2 linked regions of the Neurospora crassa OR74A genome follow. The protein of the gene in region 2 interacts with the protein of the main gene of each other region in a pairwise test. Links are inferred from orthologs where the notes say so. Each region holds a gene or a part of one and is shown on either strand. Other genes may lie near its edges.

What was found. The genes of interacting proteins can lie anywhere in the genome.
Region 1: the proteins of NCU02407 (region 2) and NCU02438 interact in binary tests that used the Saccharomyces cerevisiae proteins (3 or more experiments, as listed by UniProt). The link is inferred for Neurospora crassa OR74A from reciprocal best matches to the Saccharomyces cerevisiae genes LPD1 and KGD2.

The regions. Positions count from the first base shown.
Region 1 is NC_026507.1:2,482,654-2,486,405, reverse strand, and holds NCU02438 (dihydrolipoamide succinyltransferase), read left to right. Parts: upstream 1-1,204; 5' UTR 1,205-1,600; coding exon 1,601-1,843; intron 1,844-1,998; coding exon 1,999-2,337; intron 2,338-2,396; coding exon 2,397-2,789; intron 2,790-2,845; coding exon 2,846-3,142; 3' UTR 3,143-3,502; downstream 3,503-3,752. UniProt on the Saccharomyces cerevisiae protein: The 2-oxoglutarate dehydrogenase complex catalyzes the overall conversion of 2-oxoglutarate to succinyl-CoA and CO(2).
Region 2 is NC_026507.1:2,606,993-2,610,744, reverse strand, and holds NCU02407 (dihydrolipoyl dehydrogenase), read left to right. Parts: upstream 1-964; 5' UTR 965-1,432; coding exon 1,433-1,491; intron 1,492-1,578; coding exon 1,579-1,631; intron 1,632-1,703; coding exon 1,704-1,783; intron 1,784-1,870; coding exon 1,871-2,575; intron 2,576-2,650; coding exon 2,651-3,268; 3' UTR 3,269-3,708; downstream 3,709-3,752. Other genes in the region: NCU02406 (nuclear protein), read left to right, coding at 1-110.

The DNA.
Region 1 (3,752 bases), about 120 kb from region 2:
CAATTGCGCAATTGGGAAGAGGTACGTTGACACCGGGGGCTCTACACAGGCGATTTGGATGGGCTTGCAGGACGCGCTTCCGTACTGGAGGGTGGCTGCCTAAGGCACAAATCATCACTTCAGCACCTGGCGATATACATTACTGGGTTCACATTTCGTCTACTTGTGTACGCAGTTCACTCCACTAGGTACATACCAAGAAGGGAAGTGATCTTTGCTTTGCCGAGTCTTACAAGCCTTGCGTCTTGCTTGGCTACCCAAAACTAGTCAAATCTGTGCTTTGGACACTGCCATTGGAGGCACATGCAGCTACTACCTATCTTTATAGATTACGATGACGTCCCTATTCATTTGCTATTACATTCATATAGTAGGCAAGAGTAACTTAAACCTGATCGATTGAGATTGCTTAGGCAAATCGCTAATTGCCTACGAGGGACGTGATGAATACCAATGCGGTCTAAAAGCCTCGAGACCTGGGTGATCCGACACCCATATTTAAGATCCGTTACTCCGACGGTGTAAACGGTGACCCGGACGGATGAGCGAACCAGAGGTCCAAGCGTCTACGACATGCTAGCCTCGAGCTAGCGCACATGCTGGGGAGGGGGTCCAGGGTACTCTGAGTACGGACAATAGGATAGAAAATGGATGAGCACTTGAACGCTAAGAAAATGGTGCCCAGTATGGGATGATAGGAATTGTACGTCTATACGTAGATTGTTAGGTTTGCTGTCTTTCGGGTACCTTTCACACTCAAGCGTGATGCTTGACAATAAACCGGTTGCCTGAGGGGAACATCGATCCGTCCATAGGGTAAAACCTAGGGAGGCTTGTTTGGAATGATAATTTAAGTGCTATGGAGGTGTTCGGTGCAGGCTGATCCCTGGACCGTGCAGGCTACCGGGTCGCACCCCGGAATGATTCTTGCGATAGCTCCTTTGGTTTCCAGAAGATGTTCCCCGTCCCAGCAAACTGCGAGGCTGACCCCGTGACGCCGTGAAGGACGGCCAGATAGGCTTACCTACTCTAGGTAGGCTGGTAGGGGACTCTACTTAGTGTAGTTTCTTCTTACTCAGTTTACAGGTGTGACATGGACACTACACTACCTAGAGGTAACAGGTACGGTGAGGCTGGTGTGCTGCGCTGCCGTGCGGTGCGGAGAAAGCGCAAAAAAAAAAAAAAAAAAAAAAAAAAAAAAAAAAAAAAAGGTCGCGTAGAGCTACTGTGTGCAAAACATATGCTGGTGCAAGAACTTGTTGGAAATGCGCGGGAGTCGCTTATTATGCGGGAGTGAATTTGACAGCTTATACGATATCTAAAATGCAATTGAGTTAATGTACCCTTCCTCTGGGTCGCAGACGATCTGACCGTTAGTTTTCCGGTTGTCCCGGCAGATTTCTGTGCTGGGTGCTGCGTCATTGTCGCCGAGTCAGAACGGGACCTGTAGCCTCACGACAAATCTCATCACAACCGCCAATTTCGCGTTCTTCATCCGACGCTGTTCCCCCCAACCTTGGTCCTACAAAACCTCTCAAAAGGCACATCTTTATCTTGCGTCCCTACCAACTCCTGCTCCTTTGCCCGACATCCCGCTACTATGCTGTACAAAGGTCTTCGTCTTGCGGCTCGCGCCGCTCCCAAACTCGCGCTCTGCAATGCGACGCCCGCACTCCGGCAGCTTCCCCTGCAGTTCCAGCATGTCCGCACCTACGCCGATCAGGTCATCAAAGTCCCCCAAATGGCCGAGTCCATCAGTGAGGGTACCTTGAAGCAGTGGAACAAGAAGGTTGGCGACTATGTCGAGCAGGACGAAGAGATCGCGACCATCGAGACCGACAAGGTGTGTACGACGCTTCCTTAGTCCCGTGCCGGTGTCGGAGCCTAGACCGCTTGGAGCACATGCTGTCTGCCCCCCTGTCCTGCCTCTTTCTACGGTCATAGCTCGCCAGCGGCACATATATTTGCTTTCTAACTGCTTCTGCCACTGGGTTCTAGATCGATGTTGCCGTCAACGCTCCCGAGGCCGGTACCATTAAGGAGTTCCTCGTCAATGAGGAGGACACTGTCACAGTCGGCCAGGACATCGTCCGGTTAGAGCTTGGTGGTGCGCCCAAAGAGGGCGGTGCCGAAAAGCCGGCCGCGTCCGAGAGCAAGGAGGCTGCTCCCAAGGACAGCGCTCCTGCTCCTGAGAAGGCTCCGGAGCCTAAGAAGGAGACCAAGCCCGCCGCTGCTCCTGCTCCTACGCCCGCCAAGAAGGAAACTCCTGCCCCCAAACAGGAGAGTACTCCTGCGAAGGAGGCCCCGGCTGCATTGGGCAATCGCGAGGAGCGCAGAGTAAGTAAACGGCTCCTGAGCAAACGGAGTGGTGAATCGGTCAAACTAACACCCTCCAGGTCAAGATGAACCGCATGCGCCTCCGCATCGCCGAGCGTCTCAAGCAGTCCCAGAACACGGCTGCCTCGCTTACCACATTCAACGAAGTTGACATGTCGGGCCTGATGGATTTCCGCAAGCAGTACAAGGACGAGATCCTTAAGAAGACCGGTGTCAAGCTCGGCTTCATGAGTGCCTTTTCCCGCGCATGTGTCTTGGCCATGCGCGATATCCCGGCCGTAAATGCCTCGATTGAGGGTCCCAATGGCGGTGACACCATTGTCTATCGGGACTATGTTGACATCAGTGTCGCTGTGGCCACCGAGAAGGGTCTTGTCACTCCCGTAGTCCGCAATGTTGAAGCCATGGACCTCGTTGGCATTGAGAAGTCCATCGCTGATATGGGCAAAAAGGTACGGCTTCCCGCGCCTATGGAGTGCTTATATTACCTTACTAACTGTTATCGCAGGCTCGTGATGGTAAGCTCACCATTGAGGACATGGCCGGTGGCACTTTCACCATTAGCAACGGAGGCGTTTTTGGCTCCTTAATGGGTACCCCGATCATCAATCTTCCTCAGAGCGCAGTTTTGGGTCTCCATGCTATCAAGGAGCGACCTGTTGCTGTTAATGGAAAGGTTGAAATTCGCCCCATGATGTACTTGGCTCTCACCTACGACCACAGGCTGCTTGATGGCAGGGAGGCTGTCCAGTTTCTGGTTAAGGTGAAGGAGTACATTGAGGACCCCAGGAAGATGCTTCTTTAGGTTGTTGTAGTGGCAAAAAATCAAAGATCGTGTGTATTGCACCGGGCTTCTAGTGCTCCCATATCATATGGGTTGAACAATGATAAGAACAACAGAGTATTGAGAGTTAAGTCATTGGGATGTGAGTGTAATGGGTCTGGCGCCTGGGGATATGATGCCTAGCCGCAGAGCCGAGGCACGCTCCCTAGTTGGCCGATGCCTTAGGCCACCTGTTCTCTTCTAGTACTTAGCTTCCGGGCTGTAGGCCTTTCCCAGCCTACAAACCTTTTCCGCTTTGTTAATAACATTAAGCTTTAGTATACCCTAGGTGCTGTATTATATTTAGTAGACCCGTAATATATCACGAGAATCCCTCCTCGCACCTACCCTATTCCTTAGAGGTACTTTGTTTCTACTAGATAACAGCTGTTATATAATACTGGCCGTTTTGTCTAGTAATCTTGAATTTTCCAATTCAGGTTATTGCTATAAGGTGTAACGGGGGCAGCACAGTTGATACGGGTACTGGTCGTATAGCTTGATTAATATTCTATAAAGGAGGAGACGTTTATATAAAATGCGGATCTACTAGCGTTAAGAGGTTTTTATTGAGGCTGCGCGCTTTATACTA
Region 2 (3,752 bases):
CGGATCTCGCGGGAGGGGCGGCCAACACCAAGCTCGTCAAGGAGGGTTGCAAGACGGCCATGGCGGCCTTGGAGCATGCGCTGCTCGCCGCCGAAGGCTTGGTGGAATAATTTTGCTTTGTTGGATACCTGTATATGGATCGGATATCTTCGGGAATAGCAACATAATGATCAGGGATACAAGTGTGCCGGGGTCTATACAAAAGGCCATTGACCAATATCATGACAAGTTCATGGAACTAACCCAAGCATTCTCGCTCGAATGTAGTTACCTACTTTGTAGATATTAGCGTTGACGGCGGGACTGGAAAAGTTGGGGGTAGCTTTAAGTTGGGGAACTTGTTGTCAGGAAGGGCGATTTGCTACTAGGGATCCAGGGAGCAACCGACTCGAGTGTGCGGGAGCCCGGAAATATAGTGGTCTGTGAATAGCACTCAATGATGTCATTTCGTCTTGCAACGAAGGGACAGGGTTTCATGAGGGTCGGGCGGGACTCTTGATTGTGGACATGAAGAGGAGGCAGATGGTTTGAGATGAATTGCCTGCCATGTGTCATGTCGTTCGACAAACAACTAACCTCTAAGACGGGTTAGGGACAGGTTATGCTTCTCCAATTCGGCAGCTGGGCAAGCTGGGGTTATTTGGCGTTGACGGGCGGAGTAAAGAGGGGAGCAAAGAGGGGATCGCGCCAAGGAGCAAGATGAATGTCAAACACAACCTAAGCTGTCAGAAAAATGGCTACAATACATAGCGGGAGTGCAGAGATGTCAAAATTTTGGAGTCAGCTGCTGCACGCCAAGTTCGTCTTGACCAATCACAGGACGCAATGGAGCGTACCTAGTACCGTACGTATTTGGGGACGGGTTTCTTCGACGAAGCAGTCAGGGCAGCAGCGACAGTAAAGTAAGACGGCGAAGAGCGCGCTGCCCGTCCCGCCTAACACTGGCATCATAGTACTTTTACTTCCTGTAGCACACTACCTCTACACTACTAACACGATCAGGCAGTACCTACCTACCTATTTAGTGTAGCGTACGCGAGATTAGAGGTACCTACTACCTACCTAGGTAGTGGTGTTCCTACTCCGCTCCGTTCGTACCTACCTCTACCTACTCCGCTCTGCGCTGTCTCGAGCGGGCCAGCTTGGGGACGGGCACGGTGGAAAGCGGGTGCCCTTTGAGCGATGTGAGCCTCTGACGGGCTGGCAACCCGAACAAGTGGGACTGGACATTTTTCGCTTGCCGTGAATAGCTTCCGCCTCGAATCCCAACAATTGTCTCTCCCGCGGCGTTTTGCAGTTCAGTACACACTTTCGACGTCTCACCATCGAATCGCATTCCCTGCTTCCCCGGGCATCTCTCTGCAGTGCGCTCGTTCCTTCGAATTTTCCCTGTTTCCATTTCTGGTTTTTCCATTCAGCACATACTTTCACCATGCTGTCCCAAAGATTAATAGGCCGTGCTGCCGTCCGGTCCGCCTTCAAGCCCTCGGGGTAAGCTCACTGTCCCGGTTGCCGGCGGATGCCCGACACACTGTTTTCTCATGCGCGTACTGAGGCTGACCTGACGACCACATACAGGCTCCCTGTCGTCGTTTCTCCCAGGTTGAGGAGGACCTATGCGACCGAGTCTGGTCTGTTTGCCAACATCAAGAGCTGGTTCTCGTCAAAGGATTCTGGTCGGCTGACTGTTGATGTGCCCGTAGAGGAGAAGGATCTCGTCATCATTGGAGGTGGCGTCGCTGGCTATGTTGCTGCCATCAAGGCCGGCCAGGAGGGTCTCAAGGTGCGTCGCATCGCGAATCAACTACACCGCAACACCGACGAATGACGACAATATCTGACTGCTATCTCCCATGTTGCCTGGAAATAGGTCGCCTGTATCGAGAAGCGCGGCACCCTCGGCGGTACCTGCCTGAACGTCGGCTGCATTCCCTCCAAGTCGCTCCTCAACAACTCCCATCTCTACCATCAGATCCTCCACGACTCGAAACACCGCGGCATCGAGGTCGGCGATGTCAAGCTCAACCTCGCCCAGCTTATGAAGGCCAAGGAACAGTCCGTCAGCGGTCTTACCAAAGGTGTCGAGTTCCTCCTGAAGAAGAACGGCGTCGAGTACATCAAGGGTGCTGGCGCCTTCGCCGATGAGCACACCATCAACGTCAAGCTCAACGACGGCGGCGAGACCTCCGTCAAGGGCAAGAACATCCTTATCGCCACTGGCTCCGAGGTCACCCCCTTCCCCGGCCTCGAAATCGACGAGAAGCGCGTCATCAGCAGCACTGGCGCCATTGCTCTTGAGAAGGTCCCGGAGAAGATGCTCGTCATCGGTGGTGGCATCATTGGTCTCGAAATGGCTTCTGTCTGGTCCCGTCTCGGCGCCCAGGTCACCGTCATCGAGTTTCTCGACCAGATTGGCGGCCCCGGCATGGACCTTGAGGTTGCCAAGTCCATCCAGAAGATCCTGAAGAAGCAGGGCATCAACTTCAAGACCGGCACCAAGGTCGTTTCCGGTGACAAGACTGGCGAGACCGTCAAGCTCGAGGTCGACTCCGCCAAGGGTGGCAAGCCCGAGACTGTGAGTGGCCCATGATACCCTGCAGGCTATCTGTTCGTTGTCGTGATCTTCAAAGCTGACATTGTTCGAACACAGCTCGAGGGTGACGTTGTTCTTGTCGCTATTGGCCGCCGTCCCTACACCGAGGGTCTCGGCCTTGAGAACATTGGACTCGAGAAGGATGAGCGCGGCCGTGTCATCATCGACTCCGAGTACCGCACCAAGATCCCCCACATTCGCTGCGTTGGTGATGTCACCTTCGGCCCCATGCTTGCTCACAAGGCTGAGGAGGAGGCTGTTGCTGTCGTCGAGTACATCAAGAAGGGTTACGGCCATGTCAACTACGGCTGCATTCCTTCGGTCATGTACACCTTCCCCGAGGTTGCCTGGGTTGGCCAGTCCGAGCAGGAACTCAAGAAGGCTGGTGTTCCCTACCGCGTCGGTACCTTCCCCTTCAGCGCCAACTCCCGTGCCAAGACCAACCTTGACACTGAGGGCATGGTGAAGATGATCGCCGACCCCGAGACCGACCGGATTCTCGGTGTCCACATCATCGGTCCTAACGCCGGTGAGATGATTGCTGAGGGTACCCTTGCCCTCGAGTATGGCGCTTCCAGCGAGGATATTGCCCGCACCTGCCACGCTCACCCTACCCTCGCCGAGGCTTTCAAGGAGGCGGCCATGGCCACTCACTCAAAGGCCATCCACTTCTAAGCAGCTGGAGCGTTTTGGCGTTGAATGGCTCTAAGCACGGAAAAATGTGCTGTCTGGATTTCTAGCATTGGGAGTATGGAAAGAGGATGGGAGGAGGTGTGTACTTGTACTGTAGTCACGGGCTTTCCCTCGAGGGTTTAATAGGGGATTTTCACATGACATGCTAAATAGACGCCGCTTGTTGGTTGGACTAGGGCTATTTGGCCTTGCGGGTCCTGGTTGGGCTCGAGACTCGATGAATACACGAGATTTTAAGAGATACAGAAAAGCTACCTTGGTTGCCAGATGGGATGGCAGGAAGGCTGCTGGTTATTTTATGTTAACATTGCCGAGTTATCAGAGGGCTGTGGGTTTTGGATGATTCTTGTCTGTTCTCCATGCTGGTGCAATTACTTCTTAGTCCGAGTAGCAGTGCCCATCAATGCCGGTCTTCAACTTCGTTCTGGTGTTAATGTGTATTCTCGTGTACAGGGCATGTTGCTTG